Linked DNA regions of Schizosaccharomyces pombe. The protein of the gene in region 1 binds, or shares a complex with, the protein of each later gene. Each region holds a gene or a part of one and is shown on either strand. Other genes may lie near its edges. The genes, in order: spt4 and spt5.

Region 1 (14,802 bases):
AATAAATCTTGAACTTGTAACAACGTACGCATAGTTTCTTCCAATACAAACAACCTTGCCGGCCCGTGACAACATGGTTGACAATTTTAGTGAGTGACTGTAGTATTCGAAAAATATGGGTAGCTTATAAGTCCACGGACTTTAAAATTTTTCAGGTTGACTGGCGGATTGAAACTGTCTTACTAGGGTACAGCTTTCAACTTCGCTATTTCTGTACCTAAAATTATAAATATGCAAAATCAAATAAAGTTGATTCAATCTGTTTAATAGGTAAAAGCCTTAGCGAAAAAAAATAGATACACCGTTTCGGTAATTAAATATTCCAAAAGACTCCCGCTAAGGAGTTTACTAAATAGCGTCGGAATTAGTTAACAGGCTTTTATAGGATTCGTAAAATTCATCGGAATAATTTGTGAAAATCACATCTGGTCCGCATGGATACCAATGGGAATTTGTGGTCAAGTTTAAATTATTCAAGTTTTTAATTTCCGTCGTATTGGAACATGAAAAAATTTTGGGAACAATGGTAACCACATAAGCATCAATGTCGGTAGACCCAAAAGCTTTGGCTAACAGCTCTGCTCCTCCCTCAACCATGATTCTGTTTACACCATTTTGCAACAGCTTGTCGAGCGCCACATAATCCGACCAACTGTCAGGTGAATCCTCGTTTCTAATGATACAGCGGCCTCCAACACTTTGAATGAGCTTGACTGCTTCTTTTAGCTTGCTATCGTGTTGAACCTGTTGCCAAATACTTGGTGCAACGATAATTAAAGGTGGTTTCCCCAAACGCTCACGAGCCAGCCGAATGACTTTAAGAGATGCATAATCCAAGCGCAGATTAGAATCCACTATAATAGGAATAGGCTGTTTGTTTAAAGGTAACAGGCAATCAGGATTAGCTGGATCAGGAAGCTTTGCAGTTAAACTAGGATTATCGTTTTCAGCCGTTCTGCTGCCGACCATGATTCCATCAAACTTGGTACGGAGCAAATGGGTCATCACGAACGACTCCTTCGAAGACAACCTGAGTTGTCCAAGAGAAGGCGATTCCACGACATAACCTATTCGACCATTGATAGACTGAGCCCATGTTAACAAGACATGCTTTTTGTTAGCGGAAGGAGGAAAATAAGCTTGAGATGACTCCATAGGGCAAAAAATGTAAATAATTAAAACAAGTTTATGTACTGCAAACTTTGATGTTACAATATTTGAGCTTTTATCGAGAGTTAACGTAGTCCGTCAAAGATTAGGTCAAAAGACAAAAAGTAACTGAAAGTATTAAGGATAATAGGAAGAAGCCTAATTGTTAGTAAAGGGGCATAACAAAGTCTCGATTTGGGAACCTACCATATGTTGTATGTTCTGCTATCTACTAAATGTATTCGCATTCAATATTATATCATTCATCTTAAAAGTAAATTTTCCGAGTTGACTAGAAAAGAAATACGCATCATCTTATATTTTCAACGTATACGACTTTTACTGAAGAAGTCAAAAGACGATAATTTCCACTTCTTTTGCTATGGATAACTTTTATGAGCATACAGCAATTGTATATAAGTATGTCAATAAACTCATTATAACGTCTAAACCGGATTGAAATGATAAATAATATAATAAGTACTCCACCGTTGTAAATTACTCGACCATCAATCATAAAGAGCTTGTGCTTTATGAGCGGCGTAAACAAATGTCCTAAAGCCTTATATAAAACACCTACGCCAAAAACCTAATGCTCCAAAAAAAAAATACCGATTTTACTATTAACAGATTTGTTTTTTCCCTTAATAGCATTAGTTTGGGGACATTCTAAGACAGTTGTTAATTCTAGTTAACAATTGTTTTTGAACTTGAACAAATAATGATTACGCACTATTATTATTTTACACCAGTTGTTCGGCTATCAATCACCTCTAGCAATAACGTTTCGTAAGTTGTTTGAGAAATACGAAGCCTCCTTTTAATAATACTATCTTATATAGTACAAAACATAAAGTTATTATAAGTAAAGTCCCGAGTGGCTCAATCGGTTTAGAGCGTCTGACTCTTATGATGGTCATCAGAAGGTTGCGAGTTCGAGTCTCGCCTTGGGAGTTAATTTTTTTCAATAATCGCTAAATTGAAATTACATAACTTAACCGGCATGATAAGAAAAATAAGGGTTATATTTTATTTAGCGTTTAGTTTGTCAATACCTGAAAGACATTAAATGCTTACTACCAAGCACCGGCTATACAACACATTACCGCGTATCGATTGCCCTTGCATCCTATCTCACTAAGGCAAGCTCTCTTCCAGCTAATTTTGAGAGAAACGTGCTAAATTCATTTCACTATTGTTTTAAACACAAAAGCTTTTAGAGGAGTATTCATAAATTATATAACCGATTTAATTTTAGACTATATTTATTTTATGCTGTTCTGTATGCCAAGAGCCTCCTGATGGTGTAGTTGGTTATCACATCCGGCTGTAATTAAAACGATACCGGTTGGTCGCTAGTTCGATTCTGGCTCAGGAGATTTTTTTATTTAAATCATAATTGAATGAGCCTAAATGACAAAACAGTTATTAAACAATTTTCGCAAATATAAACTAACAGATGCAAAGAATTGGGAGTGTATCACCCTGGCTACTTGTGGTACCAGAGTAGGGTGAAACACCACCTCATAGAAATTGACCAATTGATAACATTTTGCGGTTATTTTTTTAACAATAAAAATGGATAAGGGATTTAACAAATATATACTAATTTGATAAAGACTGACTAAACGTATAGAGCACGAATCTACCTGTGTTGTATGAGAGGTCGTTCTCTTCCAAGCACTTTGAATTTAAAAATAGAAAAATTCTCAATGATTTACTGTTAGCAAGCAGTACATTTATTTCCTTTCACGCCCCTTTCCTTTTTTTTTTTTTTTTTTTTTTTTTTACTCATGGTTTTCAAACACCTTTTTTTGGCTAATTTTGAACAGGATTTGTTTAAATATAACAAAATTGTCATCCAAAAGCTTCTTATATTTAATGAAACCTTTATTAAATATATATTTTTATTTTTATCTCACAAATGCAAGTTATTAATAAGTTGCAATGAAATTCAAATAACCGATGCTAGGATATATTCCTACTGGTTTTTGCCTCTTTAGTAAAATGGAAGTTAATAAGTACGGCAAAACAATCAATTTTTTTTTTAACAATGATTTTTTTTACTTCGTCCTAAGTTTTCAAAACCTTGATGAGATTGTTAAATTGCTTTTGTTTTTATGTTATAAGAATATTTAGCGAGTTCCGTATATCTTTGTCATGACATAGTGTAACACTAAGCAGCGCATATTCTCTGCTTTATAAGAACCATATATTGAAAATACTTAACCTCTACCGTTCGCAAATTAGGAAGTAATTAAAATGGCGACTATTTACGCGTGCAGAGGGTTTCATCGAGTTCCCGTCAAATTGTCGCCATCTTCAACTCTTCAAGAAGTCATCCTTTCCTCCTATAAACAACTTGGATTTTCTGACTGGCATAACCTTGAATTATTACATGGCGATAAAAAGGTAGATACCTCTTTGCTTTTACGGCTTTCTGGTATAATCAATGGCGCAAAACTGATAGTTAAAGAATCTGCCACCAATCAAAGTGGAAAATCTTCGAGTTCAATTAGCCCCCAATCTAAAAAGATCAAAGTTGCTCTTCAACTTCCTGGAGCTGCCCGTATCATTGATGAGGCTTCTAGTGAAACATCTATTAAACAATTGTTAGAGCGACATTCTTTGCTTACGAAAGTAAGCCACGTTCTAATTAATGGTCGAAATTTTAAGTCTGAGGAATTTGACAATCCTTTGTTATTGTACGGTATTCGCGAAGGATCTATTTTGATTAGATTGTTTCCCATTAAAGCTCAACAATCTATTGTTTCGGAGCAGGCACCAGTCTCTCAAACTTTCAATGGTGATGTCAAAGAAAAAAAGAACGCAGATTTGATGGATATTGAAAGTGAAAATAAAAAAGACGATATTGTAGAAAGTTTTCCCAAATACCCAGTTGATGCTCACAAATTACTGGAACCACTGCCTACGCCTATTCCATCGCTTCCATCTACTCCTTCTTCTTACCAAAACTTACCTTCACAATCTCTTACAGGTGAATCACTCCCTACCGTTTCAAATCAGGAAAAAGATGAGGGCGTAATTGAAAAGGTTGCAGTTAACAATACTCCGAGTGTCTCTTCTAAATCTCCCTTTCCAAAAAAGAAGTCGTTTTCATCCATGCTAGCACAGGTAAAAAAAGAAAAAGCTGAAAATAATGGATCAGACGGTTATGATTTACAACCAACCAAAAGTCAACTCGAATTATATCAGAGTATATTAAGGAAACGGGCGAACCAAGTGTCATCTACCTCACTAACTAAATCATCTTCTCCCAAACCTTTACCTTCTTCTGCAATTGTAAAGTTTGATTTCGGTAATGGCAAGTCCATCGTACATGAATTTAGCAAAGATGATAACATCGAAACACTACGAGCTTTTGTTGCCTCCCATCTTTCTCCGGAAGAGTCAACATCTTTTCAACTCACTTTTAGCAACTATGAGGCATTACCTACGACAGGGTTAATAGTTGAACACATAGGTCGTGCAGTGGTTCGTGTCCATACGATTTCAGATCCTGTTTATGCACAAAGGTAAAATCTGAAAATTTACGACCTTTGTTTAATGTTTCTTTACAGTTTTTAATGGATCAAGGATTCAAAAATGATAAAATTGCTGGTGCTTGGGGTTTTTATATGTCTCTATTAATACTTCAATAAATGACTGATATAATACTTGGTGTTGCGAATATATGCTATAAGTTACAAATTTCCATTAAATTTAAAAAGTAAGATGTATATTCGTGTGTTAAAAGCGTAAAAGAAATATTGTAGGTTTATATGTCGATAAACTTTGAAAACTTGTTGGCGTCAAGGCAGTCATAATCTACCAGTAATGAGGTTTTAAGATTTCCTTGGGCGTCTCGAGTATATTTACCTAAAGTGGGGACTGCACTGATACCAAATTTCACTCGAAATTCATTGTGTGGTGTTTTCCATTGAGGCATGTTGCCAACATAGACATGGACAACATTGAGCTTTTTAGAGCTATTAAAGGCATTGTTAAAGAGAGGCAAAGCCGCACGAACCGTTGGACACCAAGGCTGTTTAGTACGAGGATCAACAGAAGCAAGATAAGCAACGAAAAGTGTCTCATTTTTAGCAACGTTAGCTAAAGTAGATTCCAGTGATTCTTTCAATGGTAACAACATTTTGGTGGTCAGACGTTTGGATAAATACAAATATTTTAATGAATATTGAATACAGTGGCTTGATCGTATCTTAAAGTAAATGTTAAAACCAGAATTTTAACTATTTCCTCAATTTCAAACTTGCTATCGGTTAGTGAGAAAGTAGCATTGTCCCATTACAGATTCTCAGTATTGAGAAACATTAGCCTAATTCAAGACAAAATTCCATCTCTAAATTACAAAGTTTGTAAAAAGAGAAGTCCTTCAGTAGTTAAGGAATAAAATATTTTTGTTGACTTGACACTGTGTGAATTGGGGTTTTCGCTATAAGAACAAAATACAAAATCTGCAATCATAACTTCCGCTGTTTAAAAATTGAAAAACAATACATTTACAGAATAAAAAAAATTTATTGAAAGTATAATTAGTTAATTACTGATTATATTTAACCCTGCAGAGTATGTCAATCGTGCATTGCATTTGCATTTTATAGTCAGTGCTTTTTATAATTTGAGTAAATTACGATTTTTTCATAGTTGGAATAAAATAATAATTCTTTTATATAATGGAAATTTTATTAGTTGCGAAAGTAATAAAAAGTACTTCTACTGCAGGTTCAACATAATAATACTGATTCAGCAGATGAAAATATTCAAGCGTTACTTTTACTAACTAATTATATTAAGCAGTTTGACAGGACGCGGTAAACCGATTTTATGTTTACCAATTAGTGAGTTATGACAATAACAGTCACTTTACTACAATAACGCTTTGAAATTACGCTACCTTACGCTTCACTTGCTTTGTGTAAAAGAAAATTAGGGTAGGGTAGAGGAACAGTCACATTTGTTTCGAAGCCAACATTTTCAGATTGGAGAAGCTTTGTAACAACCACACTGCACAATGGCTGGCGTTTCTGTTAAGGATGTGGACGCTCAAAAATTCATAACTGCCTATGCTGCTTTCTTAAAGCGCTCCGGTATGTCTATCCTATTTAAAAAAATTAGTTTTGTCGGTGGATATAATACGATATTCGATATACCCATTTGGTTGTTCTCGATGATCGAAAGGGTCGTAGATTATACACCTGAAAACTAACATCTATTATTTGTTAACTTACTAATACAATCTTTAGGCAAGATGACTACTCCTCAATGGATTGACATCGTCAAGACTGGTACTCACAAAGAGTTAGCTCCTTACGACCCCGATTGGTATTATGTCCGCGCTGCTGCCATTGCCCGCCACATCTATCTCCGCAAGCAAGTTGGTGTTGGCCGTCTTTGCAAGGTCTATGGTGGTTCCGTTAACCGTGGCATGCGCCCTTCTCATCACCGTGATGGTTCTGGCAGTGTACAACGCAAAGTTGTTCAAAGCTTGGAGAAAATCGGTGTTCTTGAAAAGTCCGACAACGGTGGCCGCCGTATTTCCCAACAAGGTCAACGTGATTTGGACCGTATTGCCTACTCTCTTTTGGAAGAAGAAAGCGAGTAAGCATTTCTATAGTCTTAATCTAAGTGTTTAAGTGGCTTCTCTTAATGGGTTTATTGAATAAGTAGACGAAAAAAATCGTAATATAAATAAACCTTTTACCTTTAAACTGGCATGTAATCCCTGTAGACTTTTCATTACCGTATCAGACATATTAATATAAAAACACATGGATTATTTATTAATTTCTATTCTCCTAATTTTCTACGAAGTATACAATAAATAGTAATAGGCACGTCGACGATCATGGTATTACCATCTGTCTACTCATTCTCCGAGTAAAATACTCAAGCTCAAATACTTAGTTTTTCCTCATTTTCCATCAACGAGCGTTCAGCAAAGCAAAAGAACTTAAATAAGCTCATTAAATCTTGACTGGTTTAGTCTGTAGACGTTAAATAACATAAATCACATAGATACTTTCTTTCCACAAGTCTAGTAAAAATACTAAACTTAATTGAATTCCCATATCATTAATCCATTTCCCTTTAACTATGCTCAATCTGAAGTGAGCTCTGATTCAACATCACTGGAATAATTTGGCAATGGATCAGTTGGCACCTCAATAGGTAAAATAGTATATACTTTCTCAGCTTCAGAACTAGCGACATCAGAGAGCGGAGTAGAATGAACCTCCTTAGTTATTGAAGCTTCATTTTCCGCATGTAAAACGGAAAATATCGTATCAGAACTAGCATCCAGATTATCAGCGCGACTTACTTCGGAGTAATCCTTCACACTATCAGTCTGGAGGTTAGAACTATCAATTACATGACCATCTTTTTCCAAGCTTGGATCTTTAACATCAATAGGTAAAATTGAATAAATTTTTTCGGCTTCAGACTCTGGAATATCACTAGGCTTAAAGGAATAAGTCTCTTCAGCAACAGATTGTGGAACATCAATAGGTAAAATGGAGTAAACTTTTTCGGCTTCAGATTTTGGAACATCAGAAGGTAAAAAGGAATAAGTTTCTTCAGCAACAGATTTTGGAACATCGATAGGTAAAATGGAGTAAGCTCCTTCGGCCTCAGATGTTGAAACATCAATTGGTAAAATAGAGTAAACGTTGTCAGCTTCGGATGCAGGAATATCGATCGATGGAAAAGTGGAGAGTCCTTCATTAATATTGTCATTGAGCGTGCCAGTGTAACTTATTTCCTGTGTATTGGAAGAAGATGTACTGGTTGCTTGATTTGTTTTAATAGTTTTATCACTATTTAAATCATTGAAGATTTCATCATCCTCATTGAGTAAAGAATCGCGTTTCAAAATTTTACGCTCAGAATCAGCTCCATGGGTTGGAATGCTTCTTTCATATATTTCAAAAGATGCAGTACTGAAATTGACATCATCACAGTCAGCATGCTCATCATTAATTTCAACAATTTTATGGACCTGATCGGAAACGAGATAATCAAAGTTAGGAAGTTCAGCAGAAGATCTATCAACCATTTTGAGTTTATGGGAATTTTTTACAGCAGTTAATCGCTGGACTGCACTAGAAGCAACACTTCCTATCCGTGAAAGGTGTTGTTTAATAACGTTGTCAAGAGTTTCGCCATAACGGTTACCAACCTTTTCGCTTTCTGCAGTAATGTATGAATATACTTTCTGAATCAGTGCATTTAGTTTATTCACTTGCTCAGCATTGTGTTTTATTCCAGAGCAAGCAGCAAGGGCTACCTCAGAAGAGGCAGCAGCTTGTTCGCGAATTGAATTAATGCCCATCTCAATGTTTTCAGCTACGTCCGCACGAATTGAATCACTTAGAGTCCTGAGTTTAATAGCACGTTCGTGAACCCTTAAAATAGAATCTTTAACGTATTCAAATAGATCCATAATTGCCTGATCGTAATTAGATTCTTCGGCTTTTTGAATAAGATTTCCTAAGGAATTCTCAACTGCCAATACACGAAGGTTAGAGATCTCTTCAAATGCTTCAAGTTCCTTTTGACAACTATCGGTAGCCTTACGAAGAAGATCTTCCCAATGCTCGGAAACTGAAAGAGTAAACGTAGAAACCAAGGTTTCATACTCATGCTCAAGGTAATTCATTGCGTTGGAGAAGCAGTCATTTTGACTGTTGAAAGTAACAGAAGAGGGAATGGAATATTCAGTTGCCGGCTCTTCTTCTGCAGCTTCCATTGGTACAGGCGTTTCTACAGACTTTGTTCGCGATAAGATAGTAGGAGAGGATGTGTAATGTGCTGAGCTGGACGCCATGGAAGCAGACATTTCAGACAGTATTTTTGAGCTTGTTGCTGATGCAAAGGCCTCCGATTTTTCCTCGACAACACTCTCATAAATATGCTGAAGTTGGGGTTTAATATGCATGTCCAGAAAGGTACGCAAAAATCTTATAGACGTCTCAATCATTTGAGTGATTGTAGCCTTAGCGGCAGGAAAAAACACATAGCGTAATTGCATGTAACCATCCATTGCCCCTCTCTGAATAATGGGTTTATAATGGTGATATGCCGGTATAGCATGAATCTCCCAAAAATATTGAAGCTTCTCGGCAATGTCCCTCGAGATGGTACGAACTTCTTGTACAACTCTTTGAAAAAACGGAATCAGAACATCAACAATAAAAAAATGAATCCTTTCCTTCCCTGTTGTATAGAGTTCACGTAAATTATCGCCATCCAACACTTTAGAGCCAATTTTCCTGGCTTTTTCGTTGAATGCTTTTATACAAGGTGCGACTTTTTTATCGATTACTTCATTAACCTCATATCGAATATTCTCAACTTTAGGCTTTGCATGCTCATCGTAGTAAGACTTTACATTAACAGTAGCCTGCTTTGCAGCATCTACGATAGGACTGGCTTTAGCAATTTGAGATTGAACAACCGTTCCGTAGGGACGGACGTGATAATCATATATACTTTTCAAAGCAGCACCTTTGTCCTGCTTTTTGGCTTTTCTAGCTAACACGCCATTATCTTGAAGAATAAGGGAAAATAAAAAAGTAATAATAAATGCCCTTGCTATTGCTTTAAAGTATCTTTCGATTTTCATTCTATGAAACTAAAGTGTACAGTTAGAAAGTAAAACTAACTTATTTGAAAAAGGAAAATGGAAACAATAATTAAAAACACAACTTTACTACTGTAGTCAAAGCAGCAATATTTTAGCTGCTAGTTGTGGTCAGCAGATAGGAAGTGGGGAAAGATGTAATAGTCGAGCAACCTATACTAAGAGTACTCAATCAATTATCGTGTACCTTATATACCTATAGAAGCGGGAATGCCAACACCAATTTTATTATTCAAATAAAAATAATCAGTATTTGAGAGTTTACAATTATAATATATGGACGAGTTTCGCATAGACACATTATCGAGATAAATTCAAAAAAAATAAAAGGTAAATTTTACTTAAAAGTGACAACTTAAGAATAGAAATAATTTAATACCAACATGTGATCCACAATTTGTAAACAAACAAGCACTTTACGAGGTTGTCTGTCAAACACCATATTCAATACATTGGTCCTACACCAACTTATACAAGCTTTTTAGCTTTTCTCTATTGACAAGCGCGTACTAATTGTTTTTAAATACTCACTATCAAATTTAAAAATTTAGGTATTGTAATCGTATACAAAGAATGGAAAACTAAAGTTTCAAAGAACAAAAAAATGAGTGAAGAAGTGGTACTTCAGAAGATACAATACTTAAGAGTTACGCCATAATTGGTAAACATTAGGAACAAGACTGATCCAAGCGCCATACACAGTTCCCATAAGACCGCGAACAAATTGCCAAGCCTTTTGAGAATCGGGAATAGGATAGTCAACAGCAGGGGGAATGCCAGTATGGATGGCACTAAATCGATCGTAAGCAATAGCCTTGGAATTGCAGATTCCGCGTAGACCCTCATATCCGGCAAATCTTCCATAACCACTTTTCTTGCAACCACCAAAAGGCATTTGTAGCAAATAAAAGGCACCAAAATCATTAACAGCAACCATACCGGTTTCCAAATTATCAGTGAAATATTGACATAATTGCTTATCCCGGCCAAACACGGATGCCCCCAACCCAAATTCAGTACCGTTAGCAATCTCTAAAGCATGTTCGGGTGATTTTGCTCGAAAAACAAGTGCAATTGGAGCAAAGCACTCTTCTTGGGCAATCTTCATCTCATTAGTAGCATCAACAAGCAAAGTGGGTAAAAAATAATTTCCTTTAGGATACTTAGGATGTTGAAAACGGTGACCACCGTACACTAAACGAGCTCCTTTGCTAACAGCATCCTGTATTAAAGATTCTAAATGATCAAATCGATTATTAGATACCATAGCACCCATATCGACATCATTTTGGGTGTACATGCCAAGTCTCATAGTGGAAATTCTGTTGTATAATTTCGTAATTATGGTGTCGTAAACGCCATCCAAAGCAATGATACGCTCAATACCAATACAATTTTGTCCGGCACTTTGGAAAACACCTCGCATAACTATAGACAAGATCTCTTCTAGTCTGTGGTCGTCAGTTAAAATACAAGGATCTTTTCCTCCTAATTCAAGGCACAAGGGAGTAAGTTGTTTTGCAGCAGAAGCAGCAACCAATTTTGCGATAGGCTGAGAACCAATGAAAGTTATATGCTTAATTCCAGAGTGACTGGTAAGGTGATCAGCAACATCTGGTAGACAAGTAATACATTGAACGAGTTCAGGGGAATGGCCCATTGATTGTAATAAACTACGAACCATTTCACAATATTGATGTGTAGACCACGCTGTAAGCTCGCTTCCCTTCACAACAATAGCGTTTCCAGCAAACAATGCAGAAATGATAGGACCCAAGGCATTGTGAAGAGGATAGTTCCAACTAACTAATGCAGCTATAACTCCCAATGGCTCATATTTAACATAACCTCCTTTATATGAAGTTAACAACGAGTTAGGACGTTTCGTAGGACGCAAAGACTGCTCTCCATTAGCAAGCGTCCAGTTAATTTTTTCTAATGTAACCAATATTTCACCGAACGCGGCATCTACCAATGTTTTACCGGTATCTTTGCAGGCAATTTCTGCATATTTATCTTGGTTTCTAATAATGTTTTCCTTCAAAGCCTTCAAAAAATTGCGCCTTTCAGCAAATGAAGTAGATTTCCATTCTTTTTGGGCTTCTTCAGCCAAGATGATTGACTGATCAATATCAGACTTGTTGAATAGCTTGACTTCTCCAAGCAACGACCCGTCTCCTGGACAATAGCATGTCAACGTAGAGGACATATTGGTTTGATTTTAAGTTATTGACAACGTGACAAAACTAAGGCAATAAATACGCAAACAATCAAAAAGTGTAAAGAAAGGAATTTGGTTATTCAAAATTTGTGCAAAACAGTCTATATTTTTAGTTGAGCCAAATTTGTTAGCTAGAAAATCAAGGATGTTAGCTCTCGATGCTTCAACAAAGGAAGTTACGTTGATCAGATTTCCAATGTTACAAGTGCCGAGAAAAGGCGTTCGTATTGACGAGAATCAACAATCTTGAATAACAGGAATAAATATGGTGTTTCCCAGTTACGAGATGGGTTATAAAACACCACACCACCTGACATTAGAGAAGTACAACGCATTGCACCATAGCCCAGTCTTTCACAACGGGGAGGAAGAGCAATGGCAAATTTTAAGTGAAGAAATTTAATAAAACGATGTAATATTGACATTTGTGAAGAAAAATTTCAAATAAATTTTTGATAACTTTACAAATTTAAGACCCATTAGAAGACTAATCCCATGATGTACCATTCCTAGGACGATAGTTAATGCCTCTGCGACGCAAAGATTCAACTACATCTTCGTTTAATACACCTTGAACACGAGTCGCATAGATTCCGGGAGTAAAAGTATCGATTCTCTGCCATCTGGCAACCCAAGATTCGGTGGGACTCATCATTGCCATTATTCCTTCAAATACTGGCGAGGTAAATGTTTCCACGTCGTCTACACCATCGTTCGGACAGCCTTTGTTAGCAAAAACACTATGAGGCAAAACAATTCCACAAATGAGACATGCTCTTGATCTAGTCCTATTTAGCTTATCCATGCTGTGAGGTTTATACAATGCAAGTGTGTTTGGTTATGGTTGAGTTACAAACACGAAAGAAAGTGCAATACCTATCAAACAAATATTAATTATAAATGAACCAGAATATCGAACGAAGCTGCTTAATAAAACAGTAAAAGATACACATTTTGTATTTGCTAGCTAAACGTTTAATGTTGCGATATCAGTCTCTTAATTACAATTTTAACCATACAACTCACAAGTTCCAGGAAAACAAAAATTTTATAAAACTAAATTAAACAATAAAGTCTAGCCATCAGAACTAAAAAATGATGGCCTCATTATTACAATAAAGGAGCATGCGGTAGCGACAATTGGAAAAGTTGTGAGATAAGAATGCAAAACTACACACCCAAAGTGTCAATTTGGGTAAATCTAATAATGGTATTTTACATGAAAAGTACCTTAGATAAATAAACATGTGACCCAAAAGCTGTATTGGAAGCATGCGTGATTAAGGAACGAATAATGGAGTAAAGCGGACAGACAAGGAATGGTGAAAGAGGCCATTGAATTTAAAGTTAAGAAGCAATGCGTATTACCTTCCAATTAATAATGGACCATTTACTCTATAGAAACAGTTCTGATGAATGAGATAGTATATTTTTTGGCGCAGAAAAGTAGAAACGCTAATGCTTTCTATATGAAGACATTTCCAGCTCTTTCTCGTTTTTTAAAATCCTTCTTTCTCTCCTAGTTGCAAAATGAAGAAATAGAACGATCAGTATGCAACAGGATAAACCAACGGATAACCCAATTGCAAGTTTCTTGTCAATCGGGTTTACAGAAAATGCAGGGGAAACATCCACTACCATCTTCCAGTAAAACGTGTTCGCTAATAGGACCTGTGGACCCACATATACCGTGCTGGCGGTACCATTTTGAGGAACAGCAACAACTCGCGCAGTAATGTTGTCCATCTTCATAAGCCATTTCTTATCTATCTTTACCATCCAGTAAGTTTGGTTGGAAGGAATAACACCACTGCTCGTAATCAATGTGTTATTGGAGTCGGCATATTGCAAAGCAATTTCGACAAACTGTTCAGTGGGTTGTTTCCATTTGACAGCATAAGTAAATCCTCTAGCCCATCGAGAATCTTAAACAAAAGTCAGTTTTACAATACTAAAAATTAAATAAAAAACATACCTTCAGCAGGAGTGATGAACTCAAATTCAGCCCGAACAAGATTGATAAAAGTAAGGATTAAGAATAAAGCAGATCCTAGAAAGAATTTCATTTTGTGAACCCGAAGTTTTCTTTGTAGCTTAAAAAAAATAAAAAAACGGTCTTCTCTAACGTGAATCTTACAATGTCTTTAGCATAGACTCAGTGATACGGCAATTGTCTGCGGAAGATACATCAACAGCCAGGGACGGAAGTGTAAAATTAACTCGTACTCGTTAATGCGATATCATTGTATATATTCGAATGATACTGTTATCGTATTCAACAAAAAAAATTAGTAAATCCTTTTTAGAGTGGAAATATATGAGTTGAAAATGCTGTCATCAGAACCCAGATAACTTTACACTAATAAAATAAATTTCGGTTATTCGTTTGCCGTATCCGCATGGCTTAAAGTATAGAAAGAAAAAGCTATTTATAACAGTCTAGCATATAATTATGTTGGAAACGAACTGCAGTAGTAAGCAGTAAACAATAAACAAAAACCTTTAACAATGTACAAGAAATAAACAGAAAAAATAATAATATTAAATTAATTTAGTAAAGAATCAACCAAGTGTTGAAGAAATCTCAAAAATTGGTTATGACAGGTGTGCTGTTTATTGTTTACATACTAAAAAATTTTGATAAATTATGCTTTCGTTCTAAATAGGACTCTAAATGTTACCAGTTATAGAGCTAAAGTAAATTTTTTTATAAAGGAAATATATGTAATTTAAATTACTAGCTGGTCTAGTAATTTACTTTGACACT
Region 2 (17,310 bases), on another chromosome or scaffold:
CAGCTGACACGAGCGCAACAACAGGAAAAAAGTAAATTGTCATTAACGCGATCCTTCTGCGAGGTACCGCGTCCGATTCCGAAGATGGACGTACCTTTCATCGCAATAATTATAGTGGAATTGTCATCATTGGAAAAAACATGTCCACGTAGACCATCTTCCTCCCAACCAAATCCTTCAGGTGGAGTTATATTCCAATCAGGTCCTAAATCTAACCAGTCCCCGTCGAAAGGAATTTTTTGGTAAGCATTGTAGCTCATCTTTCCAAGGGAGTAAATCGTTTCTTTATCAGTAATATCAGGAATCACGATTGCTTCCTGTTCCCATAAATCAGCTGGTGAATTCGCTTCAGAATAAATTCCTTTCATAGACTTATATCTATAATCAGTCAACGCATCGCGAGACTGATCCTTCAAGTGAACGGAATATCCTTTCTTCATTTTCAACGGCAATTTTGATTCACTCTCTGCGTAAACACTTTTCTTGGCCACATCTAGTCGATAATATGATATACTGTCCTCATTGAGTCCGTAATGAAATACATGCTGTAATTTGACATTAACCTTATCAGGCACATTTTCCGAAGATTTGATAACACTTTCAAATACTCCTGTACAACTAATCCTAATGATGAAACAAAAAAGGAAGAAAAAGCGCCTCAAGAATAGCAATTGAGACATTGCATGAATAGTTTGCTTTCCTTTTGTTTAAAAGAGCAACCGAAAAACGTTATGCGAATCTAATCCTCAATTCTAATAAATACAATGGGATAATTCAATGATTATGCTTTATCAGCTCATGTACATGCTTAACTCGTTTATGTTGCTCATAAATAGATGTTTTAAGTTACTTAACGCCTTTGGTAAGCAATAATTAATACATTACACTGCAGTAAGTTACGCATCATAGCGTGGTGTTGTATGCTGATAATGTCGCTATTTGATATAATATCTAGGTAATGGACACTGTAATTTGTGAATTTAGGATGAATGTATGGCATACAGGTTTTGTGACATGTTCTTCATAACGATACCGGAGCCTTAGACTATAATAATGCTATGATTGTAAGATTTATTTATATTGTTCCTAAATACGGCAATGTTCCTTCTCAGAAAAGACTTTGCAAATGTAACATGTTTTGCTATGGAGGACAAGGTATGAATTAATCATCCTTCGCTTTATAGTAGCACATTAGGTGCTTTTTATTCCCATGCTTAGCGGTAACCTATTTAATGGCAATAATGAACGCTTGAAATTTAACTATATTAGCAGTATGCGCAGCTCTTGTTGTTTCCCTAAAAGAATAAAGTCATATATGGATATATTCTCCTACATACGCATACTGATAACGATATCAACGTAAACATTTTTAAAGTCAGTTGGAAGAATTTAGATGTCCAATCTGAATTTTCTGTTTTTAAAGTCACCAAGACCTTCCAAATACAAATGCAAATCAGCAGTTTTGTTCAGCGTCAGAACCTTAGTTAGCATGATCTTTATCGTTATTTTAGCGATAAACATTTTTTCAAAGAAGTGCTAGGTCTCGTAAATAAAAAATAAAGACACATTGCATTGCAAAGTTTGCTTAACACTATTGAAGTTGAATTTTTATGTCTAGTAAACACTGAACTCTGGTTTGTGAGTAAATTATTGTTTGTAATGGGGAAAAGAAATAAAAAGGTATGATACTTTGTTAATCGGCCTTCTTTTTTTTTTTTAACAAAGATAGGTGACTCAGGGCAAAAGGGCTTACAATGACAAAAGTGAAATTGTCTTAGAGTAAGTGTACAAAGGTGCTTTTTTACGGGGTTTAAAGCTTTATTGGGATATTTTTAAGAAATACATTGAAAAGATCATTATTGTAGGAAATAGTCAGCTAACATGCAGAAATAAACAATTCGAAGGTTACTATAAAAAGCAAAATTTATTTCGAGGAAAGCCAAATGATGAGTTTGATAGCTTTATGGAATATATGAGAAAGCCCTTACCAACTACATTTCGTATTTGTGGATATCGTCACCATGCTTTTGAACTAAAAAACCATTTTGAAAAATACTACGTACCAAGCCTTAAAAATGTCGTCCATGAGGGTCAAACTATTCCACCTCCAACAGTGCTGCCTTGGTACCCAGATGGTCTTGCATATATTGTCGATGCGCAAAAAGATGTTATTCGAAAGAGCCCGCCTCTTAAACGACTTCAGCGGTTTCTTGTAAGTGAAAATGAAGCTGGAAACATTAATCGTCAAGAAGCGGTTAGCATGCTTCCTCCTCTATTCTTAGACGTTGAGCCACATCATGTAATTCTGGATATGTGTGCTGCTCCGGGATCTAAGACTGCGCAGCTTATTGAAGCTGTTTATAAAAAAGCCAATATCAAGGATGCTGCTCATGACAGCAAAAATCTCAAGAGTGTTGAAGGTCTTGTAATTGCTAATGACGCTGATCCCAAACGAGCCCAAATGCTTGTTCACCAAATCAATCGTTTAAATTCCCCGAATATTTTGGTTGTTAATCACGATGCATCGACAATGCCCAATATCTATGTCAAAGGTTCATCTCCTTCTGACGGCTTAAATGTAATTGAAGAAAAAAAAATTTTAAAGTTTGACCGTATTTTAGCCGACGTGCCTTGTTCAGGAGATGGCACTTTCCGCAAAAATTTGTCTCTTTGGAGGGAATGGAGTGCCAATAGCGCCTTTAGCCTTCACCCTTTGCAATTGAGAATTTTGATCAGAGGATTGCAACTTTTAAAAGTGGGTGGTTGTTTGGTTTACTCAACATGCTCCATTAATCCCATAGAAAATGAAGCTGTTGTAACAGCTGCATTGAAGGCTACTGGTGGTGCAGTTTCTCTTGTTGATGTGTCTAAAAAACTACCCCTACTTAAGCGTGATCCCGGTCTTTTATCTTGGAAGGTTTTGGATGATTCTCTTAACGAATTTCAATCACCTGCTGAGAACACCAATGATAAGATCGAGTTAACCGAATCCATGTGGCCTCTTCCTGAGGAGGAAATGAGCAAACTCCACATAGAAAGATGGTAGGTTTATTTGCCTGGATGAGAACTTTGAAACTTTATCATTTTCTAATCTCTTAATAGTGCCAGACTATATCCCCATATGCAGAATACTGGTGGTTTTTTTGTGGCCGTACTCCAAAAAACTGATCCTATTAATTCCCGTTCGTTTGATCCCAAAAAGTATACTGCTAGTATGGAAATTCTACCACCCGAGAACAAGAGACAAAGGACGGAAAAGGGTGTTGACGAAGCTTCTAATTCTACATTAACTAAATCTGGCAACAGTTATTTTGATGAAGAGCCCTTCGTATACATTAATCCTGATGATACTAGCATCAAAACTATTGTGTAAGTTATATTACCATGGCAGGCAAACTAACCCATAGTGATTTTTATGGTATCGATCCTAGTTTTCCCCGTGATCAATTTTTTGTTAGAAATCAAAGCGGTATTCCCGTTAGATCAATTTATTTTGCATGTTCTTTGTTCAAAGAAATTATTGAAGCCAACACGAATCGTGTGAAATTCGTGCACGGCGGTGTTAGATTCTTTGTAAAGCAGGAAATCAGTCAACTGTTGAAAGATTTCTCGCTAAAAGCTAACAAAGATATTTGCAATTTTCGTATTCATAGTAACGGTGTCAATATCATTAGCCCTTTCTTAAACGAGAAGCATTTTTACGATGCTGGGTTAAAAGATTTAAAAATTTTGGTTAAAAACGAGTACCCACATGTTGAGCAGTTTTCTGAGAGCGGAATGTTAAAAAAGGAATTTGAAAAAATGCCTCTAGGATGTAACATCCTTAGAGTGGATGCTCAAACAAAAGATGGTGCACTCATGGATATGTTAATATTACAGCCTATCTGGCGAAGCCCTACGAGCTGTAATTTAATGCTTGCTAGAAAAGAGAAGCAGTAAGTCACGTTTAATGTTTTTTGTTACTAACTTTAAGAAATCTTTCGTTGGAATTATTTGGAATGGACGTGTAAAAATAATTAAACTTGACATAAACTATACATATAAATAAACAATGTTTCAACGCCTACGGAGTTTTCGATGACTCTCGGTAATTAATAGAAGCCCATTTTCTTGATTTTGGAGATCATTAGCAGGCGGGATAGCATCTACATTAGAAGTCAACTGAGCATAAAGCTTATGTTTCTCACGTTGAGCGTCTGGATCTATATATGAAACATGCTCTTGTGGAGATGTCGGAGTTTCTGGTTTTGTAACTGATGACTTCCAAACAGTATCAATCTTGTCGCCCGGTACTGTCACGGATCTCCGAGGAAATATGGTTGAATCTTTTGAATTAGAATTTAGTTGAATCAATGTATTAGACCTAATATGGTTGTTTTGGCGCTTTTTAACCGATAATAAGGAAGGAGAATTATGAGGCGTAGAATGTCCTATTGGCTGCTGAGCAAGAGAATTTTGTAATCGTGTATCTCTATCAGACGTTGGAAATACCATATTATTTTGGTTTGTAAATTTTTTTATTTCTTGATTTTCTTTCTTATCGATAGCCCATGGAGAAACTTGATCAATGAATTTTCCGCTTTGAATGATGTTCCATAACCAAGCTACTCCGACGACTCTAACGTTCCATTCTGTAGCATGTTGTATTTTAAATCTAGTTTTCATACTGAAAGGTTCATTTGTGTTTACCAACAAAATACTTCGTTGGACCCCAAGAAATTCATGCACAACTGCTCCCAAGATGGTGAGAGCCTTCTTCAAATGCGAAAGTTCTTCCCCCTTAAATCCAGTAAGATGAATGCTAAGACCATTAAAATAAGGAACCAGAGATGGACGAAAAAAAGGTTTTGCTAAGGCATGTTCATCGATTCCAAAGATTTTTTTGTAATAAAGACACCTTTCTATCCACCACTCATTAACTGTAGGAAATGAGAAGATGGGCAATTCATCGACAGGGAAATAATGAGGTATAACGACAAAATCAATGGTAGAAGACAAAAATTCAGAAATCTGGCCTCCATTATCGCTCAAACATTTATGAAGCCTGGAGACCTTAGTGTTTGGAAACTCGTAAAGATAAAAAGTCAAATTTTTAAAAAGTTTAGCTTCGTTTTCGATGTTGAGTTCCGTATCTAATTCGTTTTCTTCTAAGGGTTGAACAGTTTCGGGAGTGAAATCATCCAGTAGTACTGAATTTTCTTCAGAACGGCTGGAAAATTCAAATTTTCCATTATTAAGTTCTTCCCATAAAATACTTCTATCTCTCTTCTTTCCCCGTTTCATAATCACGGGTTCTAAATCCGCTTCCTCCGCCAATGCAGCCAAGGATTGACCAGACTTTTCTTTATTCTTGCTTATTTTTTGGTTTTCAGAATAAGACTTTGCCTCCGTAGTATTGGGATCTAGACGAACATACGCGCCAAGTCCAATTTTTTCGGCTGGCATATCCAATTGGAAATACTGCGGCTCAAGGACAGCATTCCTTTGTATACTTTGCCATAACCATTCAACGCAAACTACGTTGATTTTCCACTTTAATGCATATTCATATTTGCGACCCGATGAGGTGCCAGCTATTAAATGAGTTACGTCTCTAGTTAAGTCAGGGCAAAATGTACCACCATGCTTAAGCACATAATTTTCAATACGAGATCTCTCTGGTTGGCCAATGTTGGTAAGACAAACCCGGCATTTAAATAGAGTTGGTAGAAAGTGTTTATCGACGAGCAGGCCATCATCCAGATCTTCTCCCTGTACCCAGCTTTCATAAAGAACAGGTATCCATTCACTAGACATAATCTTTATGTCTGGTCTGGATTTTGCGGCAAACTATTGAAAAGAATGTCAGCATTTACTCTTGAAGGATAGTGTAATTTGTAAGATTTTACGACATACCTTGTATTTTGGAGTATCAAAATCGCCGGCTATAAGATGCGTGACATCCTTAGTAAAGTCTGATCTATAGGCAGCACCAAGTTTAGTTGCTTTTGTAGATATCTCGGTCTGTCAAGTTAGTAACACAAATAACAAAAAATGCGATTCGTCGTGCAAAAATCTTACCCTTTGCTTTAAATCGATACTGGTACAACATATCACGAAGCCTTTGAGTGGTTTAGAAGAACCCATTCTTTCACTACCGACATTTATGAGTTCTAGGTGAGTAGGTATAGGTAATTTACGAGTACAAACGCGTCCATCACCACTACATATTATTGTGAGGAAATGCAAAAATTGGTAATGTTTAAAAGGGAAAATAAAGAATGTTTAGAGAAAATCGACTTTCGAAGGTTAAGAGTAGATTGAAGCTAAAACCAAGTTGTTATATGCTACCGTGGTGGGTGCGAAGATTGACAAATGGAGAGTCATAAAAGGCCAAAATTAAATTTTAAGCATTTATTCGAAAAACTCGACTGTATTGGCAATGTACACGATGCTGTATAGCTGAGTAGCATCATTGGTTTGGGGGAAATTATGAACAAGCACCAAGAGCTGGCTATTATATTATTCCTCATTTAACCTGTATCATAATTATAAGATTTATTGAGTAAGAAGATAGTATATGGACACCACCTTTGTCCTATATTCTCTCGGTAAAAAATATCCTCTTATCCAGTTTAATATTTATATTGGATTTTAGTAACGCAAAGGGATATTGCCCTAAAGGGTTCATAGTTATATGGAATATAACATAATATTACAATTTAAATGTAAGATGAATTTATTGATAATCTGAGCATCCCATTATCTTTAATTTCAATTAAACCAAGTCTAACTTTAAGATTGTGTATGGCATTTCGTGTATACAAGTTTGTTTACCAGCAGTGGCAATTGCTCAAGCTTACCATTAAAGCAAATACTTTTAAAGCAAAAGTTTGATTTTACAAAAAAACCGTAAGTATTCCATTCTAAATTGCTTCTTTCGTATATCTATACTCTTGTCGCTGCAAGCCATACAAGACCTACTTGCTTGGTAAAATAGGGCAGCAGTACGTACTGTAAGTCACCTTTAACAAAACACCACTTGTTGAATAAAAAGTTCATTAATCGGCGAACCTATCGCCTATATTAGATTAAAGGTCTAAAAACAAAGCATTGAGGGAATAGGTACTATTTCCTCTTTTTTAAGTCACAATGGATACGAATTCTCCGAAATCTATTGATAAAGATGCAAATTCGACTGAGGTAGATGCAGCTGAGCAAGATGCTGCTTCAGTTAAAATCAATTCTACCCGTGCATCCCCCAATGGAAGTGACTTGCTGAATGATGATTCTGAAGCTGCTAAAATTACTACAAATGAAAAACAGAGTTCTCCCGTGGATTCCCATAACGAAAGTCCAAATGATACCACAATTAATAAAGGCGAAGATGGGAATGAAAACGAAGTCGATAATGTAAATAACAATGACAAAAAAGAAGATGAGGATAATGTTGAAGAAAACGAGGAAGAAGCTGATGCAAACGAAGAGGAAGAAGAGGATGAAGAAGATGATGAGGAAGACGAGGAAGATGAAGATGAATCAGGTGGCGGTAGAAGAAAAAGGGCTCGCCATGACCGCCGCAACCAATTCCTTGATATTGAAGCAGAAGTAGATGAGGACGAGGAAGAGCTTGAAGATGAGGAAGATGAAATTGGTCGTGAAGATGGTTTCATTGAAGAAGAAGTTGGAGCGGATTACGTCGGTGATGATCGTCGCCATCGTGAACTTGACCGTCAAAGACAGGAACTACAATCTGTTGATGCTGAACGCCTTGCTGAGGAGTATCGTGAAAAGTATGGTCGTAGCCAAACTGTTGTTGGAGATACAAGCAATGTTCCCCAACGTCTTCTACTTCCTTCAGTGAATGATCCCAATATTTGGGCTGTTCGCTGTAAAATTGGCAAAGAAAAGGATATTGTTTTTACCATAATGCGGAAAGCTATGGATTTGCAATATACTAGCTCTCCATTAGAAATCATTTCAGCATTTCAACGTGACTCGCTGGTCGGTTATATATACGTTGAAGCTCGAAAGCAATCACATGTTCTAGATGCACTTAATGGGGTTTTAAATGTTTATACAAATAACATGATTTTAGTTCCAATTAAGGAAATGCCGGATTTACTCAAAGTTCAAAAACAGGTTGTTGAACTGTTGCCTGGTGCATATGTGCGTATACGCCGTGGAAAGTACGCCGGTGATCTCGCTCAGGTTGACAACCTTTCAGAAAATGGTTTAACCGCACGTGTACGTATAGTTCCTCGTATTGATTATTCCGATGGGTTGAAACGAAAGAATTCTGCCACTCGTCCTCAAGCAAGACTCTTTAATGAAAGCGAAGCATTTAAAAGCAATCCTTCTAAGTTTTCTAAACGTGGTCCTAGACTTTTCCTCTTCAACAATGAAGAGTTCGAAGATGGATTTTTGGTAAAGGACATTCGTATTTCCTCACTGATAACTGAAGGAGTTAATCCTACACTTGACGAGGTATCCAAATTCAATCCTAATAATGAGGATTTGGATCTCAGCTCTTTGGCTCTCAGCGTCAAAGGGGGCCATGCTGAATTTCAGCCTGGAGATCATGTCGAGGTATATGTTGGTGAGCAGACTGGAGTAAGTGGTGTTGTTGAAAATGTTCGAGGTAGCGTTATTACCATGGTATCCTCTGATGGTTTACGGTTAGATGTACCATCTCGGGGCCTGAGGAAAAGGTTTAGACATGGTGATTATGTAAAAGTTATAGCAGGAAAGTACAAGGATGACACCGGTATGGTTGTCCGCATTTCAAAGGACGAAGTTACTTTTTTGAGTGATACTCTTATGACTGAGTTGACTGTATTTTCTCGTGATTTAGGCGAAGCTAGTTCTGCACAAGCTGTTAACTCTGCATATGAATTACATGATTTAGTGCAGCTGGATGTTAACACGGTTGCCTGCATTTTTTCTGTCGATCGTGATACGTACAAAGTTATTGATCAGAATGGAGGGGTTAGAACGGTTCTTGCTTCTCAAATTACCATGCGCCATTCCAATCGCCGAGGTGTGGCTACAGATAGAAATGGGGCTGAAATTCGGATTGGCGACAAAGTAAAAGAGGTTGGAGGAGAGGGAAAGCAGGGAACGATCTTGCACATATACAGAGCTTTTGTTTTCTTGCATAACAGAGATATCGCAGAGAATAATGGTGTATTTTCCGCTCGCAGTCGTAACGTAGCAACAATTGCGGCAAAGGGTGCCCGTATTTCAGCAGATTTGACGAAAATGAATCCAGCTTTATCCAATGGGCCGGCTTTGCCTCCGGTTGCTAACTTGAAAAGAACGATTGGACGTGACAAAGCTATTGGCGCTACTGTACGCATCCGCAGAGGTCCTATGAAAGGATTACTTGGCGTTATTAAGGATACTACTGATGCAAATGCACGTGTTGAGTTACATACGGGAAACAAAATGGTTACAATTCCTAAAGAAAACCTGCTATATACTACTAAGACTGGTGAATTGATTAGCTATACCGAATTTATTGAGCGTTCTAGAGGAATAAGACCTGGTAGTATCAGCACCGCTGATGGACCAAATGTACCAAACTGGGCCCAAGGAGCCCGTACGCCTGCTGTTGCAAATGGTTCACGCACTCCAGCTTGGAATACTGGAAGTCGCACACCTGCGTGGAATTCTGGTTCAAAGACACCTGCGTGGAATTCTGGAAGTCGCACCCCAGCGTGGAACTCTGGGAATAAAACTCCTGCTTGGAATGCTGGCAGTAGAACACCTGCTTGGAATTCCGGAAATAAAACTCCTGCATGGAATGTTGGCAACAAAACCCCTGCTTGGAATAGTGGTGCTAAAACGCCTGCATGGAATGCTGGTAATAAAACTCCGTCCTGGAACAATGGTACTAAGACTCCAGCTTGGAATGCTAATCAGACACCTATGGTTGCTAATGGCACTAACACCTCATGGGGACAAACCCCTGCATACGGGGGATTCAGTGAAACTAACTGGGATACCGAAGATAATTCAAAGCCCTATACTGCTCCTACACCTGGTGCGTGGGCTGCTCCCACACCAGGTGGTTGGGATGATGAAGAAGGAGATTCACCCAAATATGTACCTCCTTCTCCTTAATTTAAAATCAAATTTTTGAAAATATCGACAGATAGTTTTGTTAAAATTGTTAAGACATATTCTAATTAACGTAATCTTGTTAATAATATTAAAATGATACGCACTTTACCAAAATGCATATATGTATATTTAAAAAAACTGAATCTCATAAAAGCATACATTAAATATTTGTAACTTTAACATAAACATACTTATAACATCGATGGCATGCCATCATCATCCTGAACTTTAGACCACTTCTGATTTATTTTATTAAGAATAGATTCAGGCACGGCGACATGACTAGAGTGTAGGTCTTGATGGTAAATAGGCCTAGGCAAATTTCTAATAACAGGAGCCTTCGGGTTATGACTATGAGATTGGCCCTCAACTTTAGTTAAATTGTCAAGTTCATCCTGATCTTCATCAGAACTTTCAGAAGATGCTTCCTTTTGATCGACTACAACTTTTTTTCCTGAAAGACTAATCGACAATACCTTCTTTTTTTTCTTTTCCTTTTTAGCCATGGCCTTTTGCATTCTAACAAGATTTAAAGCTTTCTCAGCTGGAGATGCCCAAGTATCAGAAGCTAGCGAAGTAGGATCAAAATCAGCAGCTTCGTCGATAATACGAGTTCGTTGAGCAGAGGTTCTATCAAAATTTAATAAGACATTTTTTCTTTCTTCAGCCTCCTGAGCTTTTTGCTCTAGTTGTTTAGGATCGAGAAAAATTGAATGCAAGGAGGAATTTTGCAACCTTTGAAAATTATTTTTACTAGAAACGGTTTTGCTTTTTCGTTTTTGATTGGCAGCTTGCTTTAAGCGGCTTCCCTCATGCTTCAACTCTTGAATTAATTCCAACTGTTGAGCTTTGCTAATGACAGGATTATCACAAAAGGTGCTAATTAAGATTAGTAAAAACTTGTTAATAAGATATAGTAGTAATATTACTTACCAAGGCCCAATCCCCTCAACAATGCAAATTATTTTTCCACAATTCAAACAATTGGGAGCCGCCTCATTAAGCGGATGCTTACGTCCTTGACAATTGCAGACTCTTCTTTCTGCTTTATTTATATTTTGAGATATCTCTATTTGACGTATAGCTTTTTCGATGTCGGCGAGACCTTCAATTCTGTTAGAAGAAGAGTTATTATGTTTTACACTTTTCTTTTCCGGAATAAGGTCAGAAGTCATTACGCCTGGAGAGACATTTTTCGTAGTTTTGCTAGATTTTTCATGTGATGAAATATTGTTTGATTGTGATTTATTCCTCGAAGCAGGATTGACTTTATACATTTCTTCATCATATCCTTTTTGCTTATTGTTAGCGATATAGAAACTTGGATGAGAAGATGTGGCAGTATTTTTTTGCCGAATATTATTATTTGGTGTCACATTCTTCTTGTTTTTCATGATCGATGGAGAATTACCAGAATGCGTAGAGTGAAATCTTTTTTGATTGAAGTCACTAATGAATTCTATAGTCTCAGCAGAATCCCCCAGTAAAGAAATCCAATAATCTTTTGCGGCTTCGGAAGAATCGACTGCTAAAGCAGTGCTTGTTATCATTGCGGCACTCTCATCGTCGACTGGCAAAATTTTCAGTACGTTCTCCTTCGTCCATTTTTCCATGTCTAACTTTCTAAAAGAATTCGTAGTTTAACGATTTCGAATAAAGTCTTTGAATAAAGAATCCCCAAGTAAAAAATACTATTGAATTATTTAAATGAGTTCAAGAAGTTCGTACAAATAAAATTTTATATGCTTTATGTAAATTTTCCAAAACAATATCAAGTTGGTAGTGTAATAGTATTCGCGATTCTAGGGTATGCAAATTTGCTACAGGGCAATGGGTGCTGAGAGGTGGATTGCCCAGCTCTAATCACAGCCTACTTGTCCTAAACAACCTAATGGGTGGAACAATAAATGCTGCTATAAAACAAAAATTTGAAAATGAAATATTCGACTTAGCTTGTTTCGGTGAAAATCAAGTGTTACTGGGTTTTTCAAACGGCAGAGTTAGTAGCTATCAATATGATGTCGCACAAATAAGTTTGGTCGAGCAATGGAGTACCAAAAGACATAAAAAAAGCTGCAGAAATATTTCAGTAAATGAATCAGGTACCGAATTCATTTCTGTAGGTTCAGATGGTGTTTTAAAAATCGCCGATACCTCAACGGGGAGAGTGAGTTCAAAATGGATAGTGGATAAGAATAAGGAGATTTCTCCTTATAGTGTGGTTCAATGGATTGAGAATGATATGGTCTTTGCTACAGGTGATGATAATGGTTGTGTTTCTGTTTGGGATAAGCGCACCGAGGGAGGCATTATCCATACCCATAATGATCATATTGACTATATATCTTCTATTAGCCCATTTGAAGAACGATACTTCGTTGCTACTAGTGGTGATGGAGTTTTGTCAGTAATCGATGCTCGTAATTTCAAAAAACCAATATTGAGTGAAGAACAAGACGAAGAAATGACCTGTGGAGCTTTTACACGGGATCAGCATTCAAAAAAGAAATTTGCTGTTGGTACTGCCAGTGGAGTTATAACTTTATTTACAAAGGGTGATTGGGGGGATCATACCGATCGCATTTTATCGCCAATTCGGTCCCATGATTTTTCAATAGAAACAATAACTCGTGCTGATTCTGACAGTCTGTATGTTGGCGGAAGCGACGGATGTATACGTTTGTTACACATTCTTCCAAACAAATACGAAAGAATTATAGGGCAACACTCTTCGCGATCAACCGTAGACGCTGTGGATGTTACTACCGAAGGCAATTTTTTAGTTTCCTGTAGTGGAACCGAACTAGCTTTCTGGCCGGTTGATCAGAAGGAAGGAGATGAGTCATCCTCCTCTGATAATTTAGATAGTGATGAAGATTCCAGCAGCGACTCTGAATTCTCGAGTCCTAAGAAAAAGAAAAAGGTGGGAAATCAAGGGAAAAAGCCTTTAGGAACTGACTTTTTTGACGGTTTATAATTCAAAACAGCTTTGATATCTATAAAATTGCACAATCATTATTAAAATTAATTGTCTGTATATTTAAAAATAAAAGCGATCTTCCTAAATTAACTAAACTAAACATCTTCATTAGAGAAAAGAAACATTGTGCTTCGAAAACTTAAAATGAATTCACTAACACTAACACTAAAACTACAAAACCTTTGAACCCCACAAGTTTGGTAGTGATTAATACCTTACAATTAATAAATAAAAGCCTGACTCAGTCTATGCTTTTTAATTCTTTCAAGTCGAAAAGTGACTCATACCAAGGTGTGTGAGTGGGGGAGGCTTTCGTCGTCTATAATAGTAACGAAACTGTTAGAAGCGAAGCAAATAAATAAAATACTATAGGTTTGGCTCGTACAGAAGAGGTACCAGAAGTGGTTGATGCAGATAACACAGTAGGAGCATAGTTTGAAACGGCACTAGGGTTGTTCACGGTTGTTCCATTCCAGCAGTATTGTTCAAAACAAGAAGAGCATTGACTAGGAGTAGACATATTTTTGCGCTCCAAGGAACGTTGTATCATGGCGCATGCCAAACAGACTGCAAATGAATCGCTGTTGTTTTGAGTAGCCGATAGAGCAGCATTTTCAAGAATGCCACTGGACAAAGTGTCATTCATAGACATGGTAAACGTGGAAATATTGGAATAGTAAACCCAAGGATAATTGGGGAAATAAACAAGAAGAGGAGGTGTATTGTTATCTACGGTATGATTACCTGCAGTAGTGTTTCTGCCGTCACATCCAAAGAATGTTGGATGAGTGTTCAGTCCCAAGGAAATGATTGTGTCCTCATCAGGGATATACGGGAAACCTCGAACATCAACACTTTTATTGGCGTTATAAGTTATAATCCTTTCATATGTAGTAACAATAGAAGAGCCATCAGGCCAACCATTAGAATCATCATAAGTTGCGTCAACAGCAAATATAACGTCAACAAATCTTTGAGGATGTAACAAAGGCCAAATAGGAATGTTCTCATCGTCTTCACCACCATCTACTAAATCAATAGTATCGAATCGCTCAAAAGGGTTTTTGACGGTGGTGTTTGTAGTCGTGAAATTCTGATAAGGATTGGGGTAAGGAGCGATGTCATTTTGATCCTCAGAAAGTTTTTCAAATACTTTATGAATAATATCATAGAGAGTACTATTTGACGTTACTTCCTGACTCCATTCTAACAGAAACGTGTTGAACAATGTAGCTGAAGTACCCATAACAAAACCGGCATTATCATAGTTACGAATGCACTTATGGTCTGGTGGAACACCATTCTTTAAATGGGTACCGACGTATTCCATAGGGAGAAAAGCTTTAATACCATTGTCCCAAGTACCAAACTCGTATGGAGTAAATTCGAATATACTGGTGTTGGCAGGGATAGCTTTTTCCTCTTCCAAACGACTGTCAGATATAATGATGGGATAAGGATAGTCGGCATTTTGGAACCAAGTTTGGTTTCTAATGCTAGAAAATGTGATATTTGGACCACCTTGGGTAGCATCGACAAGCTTACGAGATAAAGCGCGTCCCCAAAGATCGGTCAAAGAAGTATCGAATCCTGCATCTTTCTTTTGATCAATCTCATCATCCAGGTCGTCATAATAAGCAAGATTTTCGACAACATTGTCACCATGAGGAGCAAAGACACTATGTTCCAAATTCCAAACGTTGTCACGTAGATAAGTAATATTGGCAAAGTTATTAACAGCTACGGAACCGACCAGCCATGAACCACCAGAAAGACCAGCGATATACATGGCGGATTGAAGAATTCCAGCAAGTGAAGAACCATTGCCATTTCGAGAATCGAAAGCATTTAAAACACCTCCTCCGTGGACCATAGCGCGGAGTCCACCGCCAGAAAATGCAAGTCCTAAACGAGGGCCATCTGAATCATTAATCACAGAGTTTACATCTACGTCCAAACCAGTGTTGGAAATAAAGGACCTCATTTGTGTATTGATTTTGGGGATACGTTTATCAATGAAACTTTGCTCGCCTGAACTTATTCCGTCAGAAGCAGGTCGTAGCATATAGTCACTAGGACAAGTTACATTATAAGGCGCGTATGATCCAACACTGTCGCGCTTGGAAAGCGAAATCGCCAAAGCCTCTCGTTTTTGCATTAATGAAAGAGGCGTGTCATGCATGCCCGGTCTCATTAAGTCAGATTCCCCAAACTCATACGGATCCGACATTTGCTCGCGACAAGGCGGGTACGCCAAGGCCGGCAGGATCTGGAGCAGAGCGAGTATTCCAAAACAATTAAATAACATTGTCTTTTTTTTTTATAGTTAAACCGTCTTTAGGTCAATAAATTTGGGAAATTATGCCAAAATCTACACACCGCTTTGCTTGAACTCAGAGATTAGAAGGCCGTTACAAAAACGCGCTCAAAACAAACGATGGAATCAACGACTGTCTCTCTAGACCCACAAAAGTTTAGAAAATTGACTATACCCTCAAACAATTTTCTTGTGAACGAAAACAACACAACAACGGAATATTTGTAAACGGATGGTGAAACAAATTAAACCAAAAGCGCCCTACTACGTAAAAATTTTAAAACTCCTTATAGCTGAAATTCACCCGTATTCCAACGCAGCTCTTACTGTATCACTGTATCTGCTTACCGTGCTGTTATTTCTGCTCCGGTATATGAGGATCTGATTATTGTAATTTGTGTCTAAATAAATGACAAGTTAGTATCCAAAGTTATTGATTTTTATTAAAAAGCATAGCGTCTCAATGTTAAGATAAACACTGGATTTTGCTCTTGAATTTGGCGAAACGCTTGACAATTCCATGGTTTATAAAATTTTCTGTTTGCGGTATTGCGGAATCAAATGCGAAACCATTTACCATTTCTGTTCATCGGCAAACGTCGCATCGTAACCGAAAACCTGGGATTCATCTGCTTTATGTTTCATACAAATGACTTGCAGTTTTGCAATTTCATTCAACAAATTCATGAATTCCTATTCTTTTTCTTTTATTCCAATTAAATACAAGCTCATGCCTAGTCTCCAAGCAAATCCCCCCTTACACTTTCTTACCCTAAAAGTTAGTAGTAGCTAAAGTAGCGACTTGTGCGATAATTTTAATATTGGGAAAAGGCAAGTTGAAAGTGATTCAGCCTATATATATATGTATATATATGTAAGCAGAGACACATATGTCTATCTTTGACAGATTTTTTAGATTCCCATTTTGTAGATCAAAAAAGGTCCATTTACATCCCCATGATGTAAATGCCCTTCCGTTCTATGCGAAAAGAGACCGAGACTGTCGGTCCTTTAAATATCGCTTAATATGTAAAGTTGTTGTGTAAATCTATATTTTGAGCAGTCGCTGAGACGCAAGCCTTTACGTTGAATTTGTTGCTCATCTTCTGGTCAACTATGACTGCTTTAAAGTTCACATTGGGATGAATGTTGCTAAGCTATATATCTAAAATCCTTAACGACGGAAACATTTGCAGGTTAAGTATAGGAGAATGTAGCGTTCAACCGGGCTGGTTATTTCAACTGCGCCGCCCTCGGATATTAAGTGTGCCTCTTCGAAACCGGACCTTTCTAAGGAACTTGCAGATTGTCCTTGACTATTATTTAACACACATTACTGGCATCAAATTAGTCGCATTACATTACAACTGGCCGCATTTTACATAATTGATTAAAATATGAATCACAATGTTTATTTATTAACTTCCTTCAATCTTTGGAGTCATGGTGTATATAAAATATCATCAATCTCTCTCAGTAACTCTTTTTTTCCTCATAGTTTCATGTTTGTAAAGTCGCTACATCTAATGACATCACAACATATCTTCAAGTGTCTTTCTTCTTGTAATTATGCTCTTTCAATTCTACATAATATATGTTTAGCCAGTTTTCTTTATTTATCAAAATGTTATTATCATACACACATACTTACTTCTGTTCGATTAGATTTTTGTAAATCGCATGCGCATACCTATATCAAAAGCAAAGCCTCAACTTAAAGTTAACTCGGATCCCATTTCGTTTAGACTTAAAGCATAAAATGCACACTTGCTAAATAATTTTGCAAAACACGTAACTCACAGTCATCGGATTAGAAAGTAAAGCCCGAGGCCGAGCAAAACCCGCGCAACTACTACAATTTTTTTCTCCCATTACTCGTTGTGATGTATTCTATACTGTCTCATCTACA

The links.
Region 2: spt4 (region 1) and spt5 share a complex: the UniProt entries of both Schizosaccharomyces pombe proteins name them as parts of the spt4-spt5 complex.

What each region holds. Positions count from the first base shown.
Region 1 is NC_003423.3:3,812,114-3,826,915, forward strand, and holds spt4 (DSIF transcription elongation factor complex subunit Spt4), read right to left. Parts: upstream 12,882-14,802; 5' UTR 12,841-12,881; coding exon 12,523-12,840; downstream 1-12,522. Other genes in the region: acylpyruvase Oaa1, read right to left, coding at 29-75; rib7 (5-amino-6-(5-phosphoribosylamino) uracil reductase), read right to left, coding at 349-1,155; UBX domain protein Ubx4, read left to right, coding at 3,412-4,689; SPOM_SPBC21C3.12C (thioredoxin domain-containing protein), read right to left, coding at 4,928-5,302; rps1901 (40S ribosomal protein eS19), read left to right, coding at 6,185-6,260, 6,417-6,775; SPOM_SPBC21C3.14C (uncharacterized protein), read right to left, coding at 7,271-9,796; SPOM_SPBC21C3.15C (aldehyde dehydrogenase), read right to left, coding at 10,455-12,023; protein psg1, read right to left, coding at 13,491-13,960, 14,011-14,101. UniProt on the Schizosaccharomyces pombe protein: The spt4-spt5 complex mediates both activation and inhibition of transcription elongation, and plays a role in pre-mRNA processing.
Region 2 is NC_003424.3:1,056,736-1,074,045, forward strand, and holds spt5 (DSIF transcription elongation factor complex subunit Spt5), read left to right. Parts: upstream 1-7,008; 5' UTR 7,009-7,131; coding exon 7,132-10,104; 3' UTR 10,105-10,219; downstream 10,220-17,310. Other genes in the region: autophagy-associated lipase Atg15, read right to left, coding at 1-680; trm402 (tRNA (cytosine-5-)-methyltransferase), read left to right, coding at 1,660-1,680, 1,730-1,779, 1,888-3,042, 3,103-3,369, 3,408-3,935, 3,974-4,010; BRCT domain protein Rad4, read right to left, coding at 4,057-5,829, 5,896-6,003, 6,061-6,126; transcription coactivator Rqt4, read right to left, coding at 10,296-10,983, 11,038-11,717; wdr55 (WD repeat-containing protein), read left to right, coding at 11,996-13,081; lysophospholipase Plb3, read right to left, coding at 13,404-15,392; SPOM_SPAC1A6.11 (uncharacterized protein), read left to right, coding at 16,799-17,119. UniProt on the Schizosaccharomyces pombe protein: The spt4-spt5 complex mediates both activation and inhibition of transcription elongation, and plays a role in pre-mRNA processing.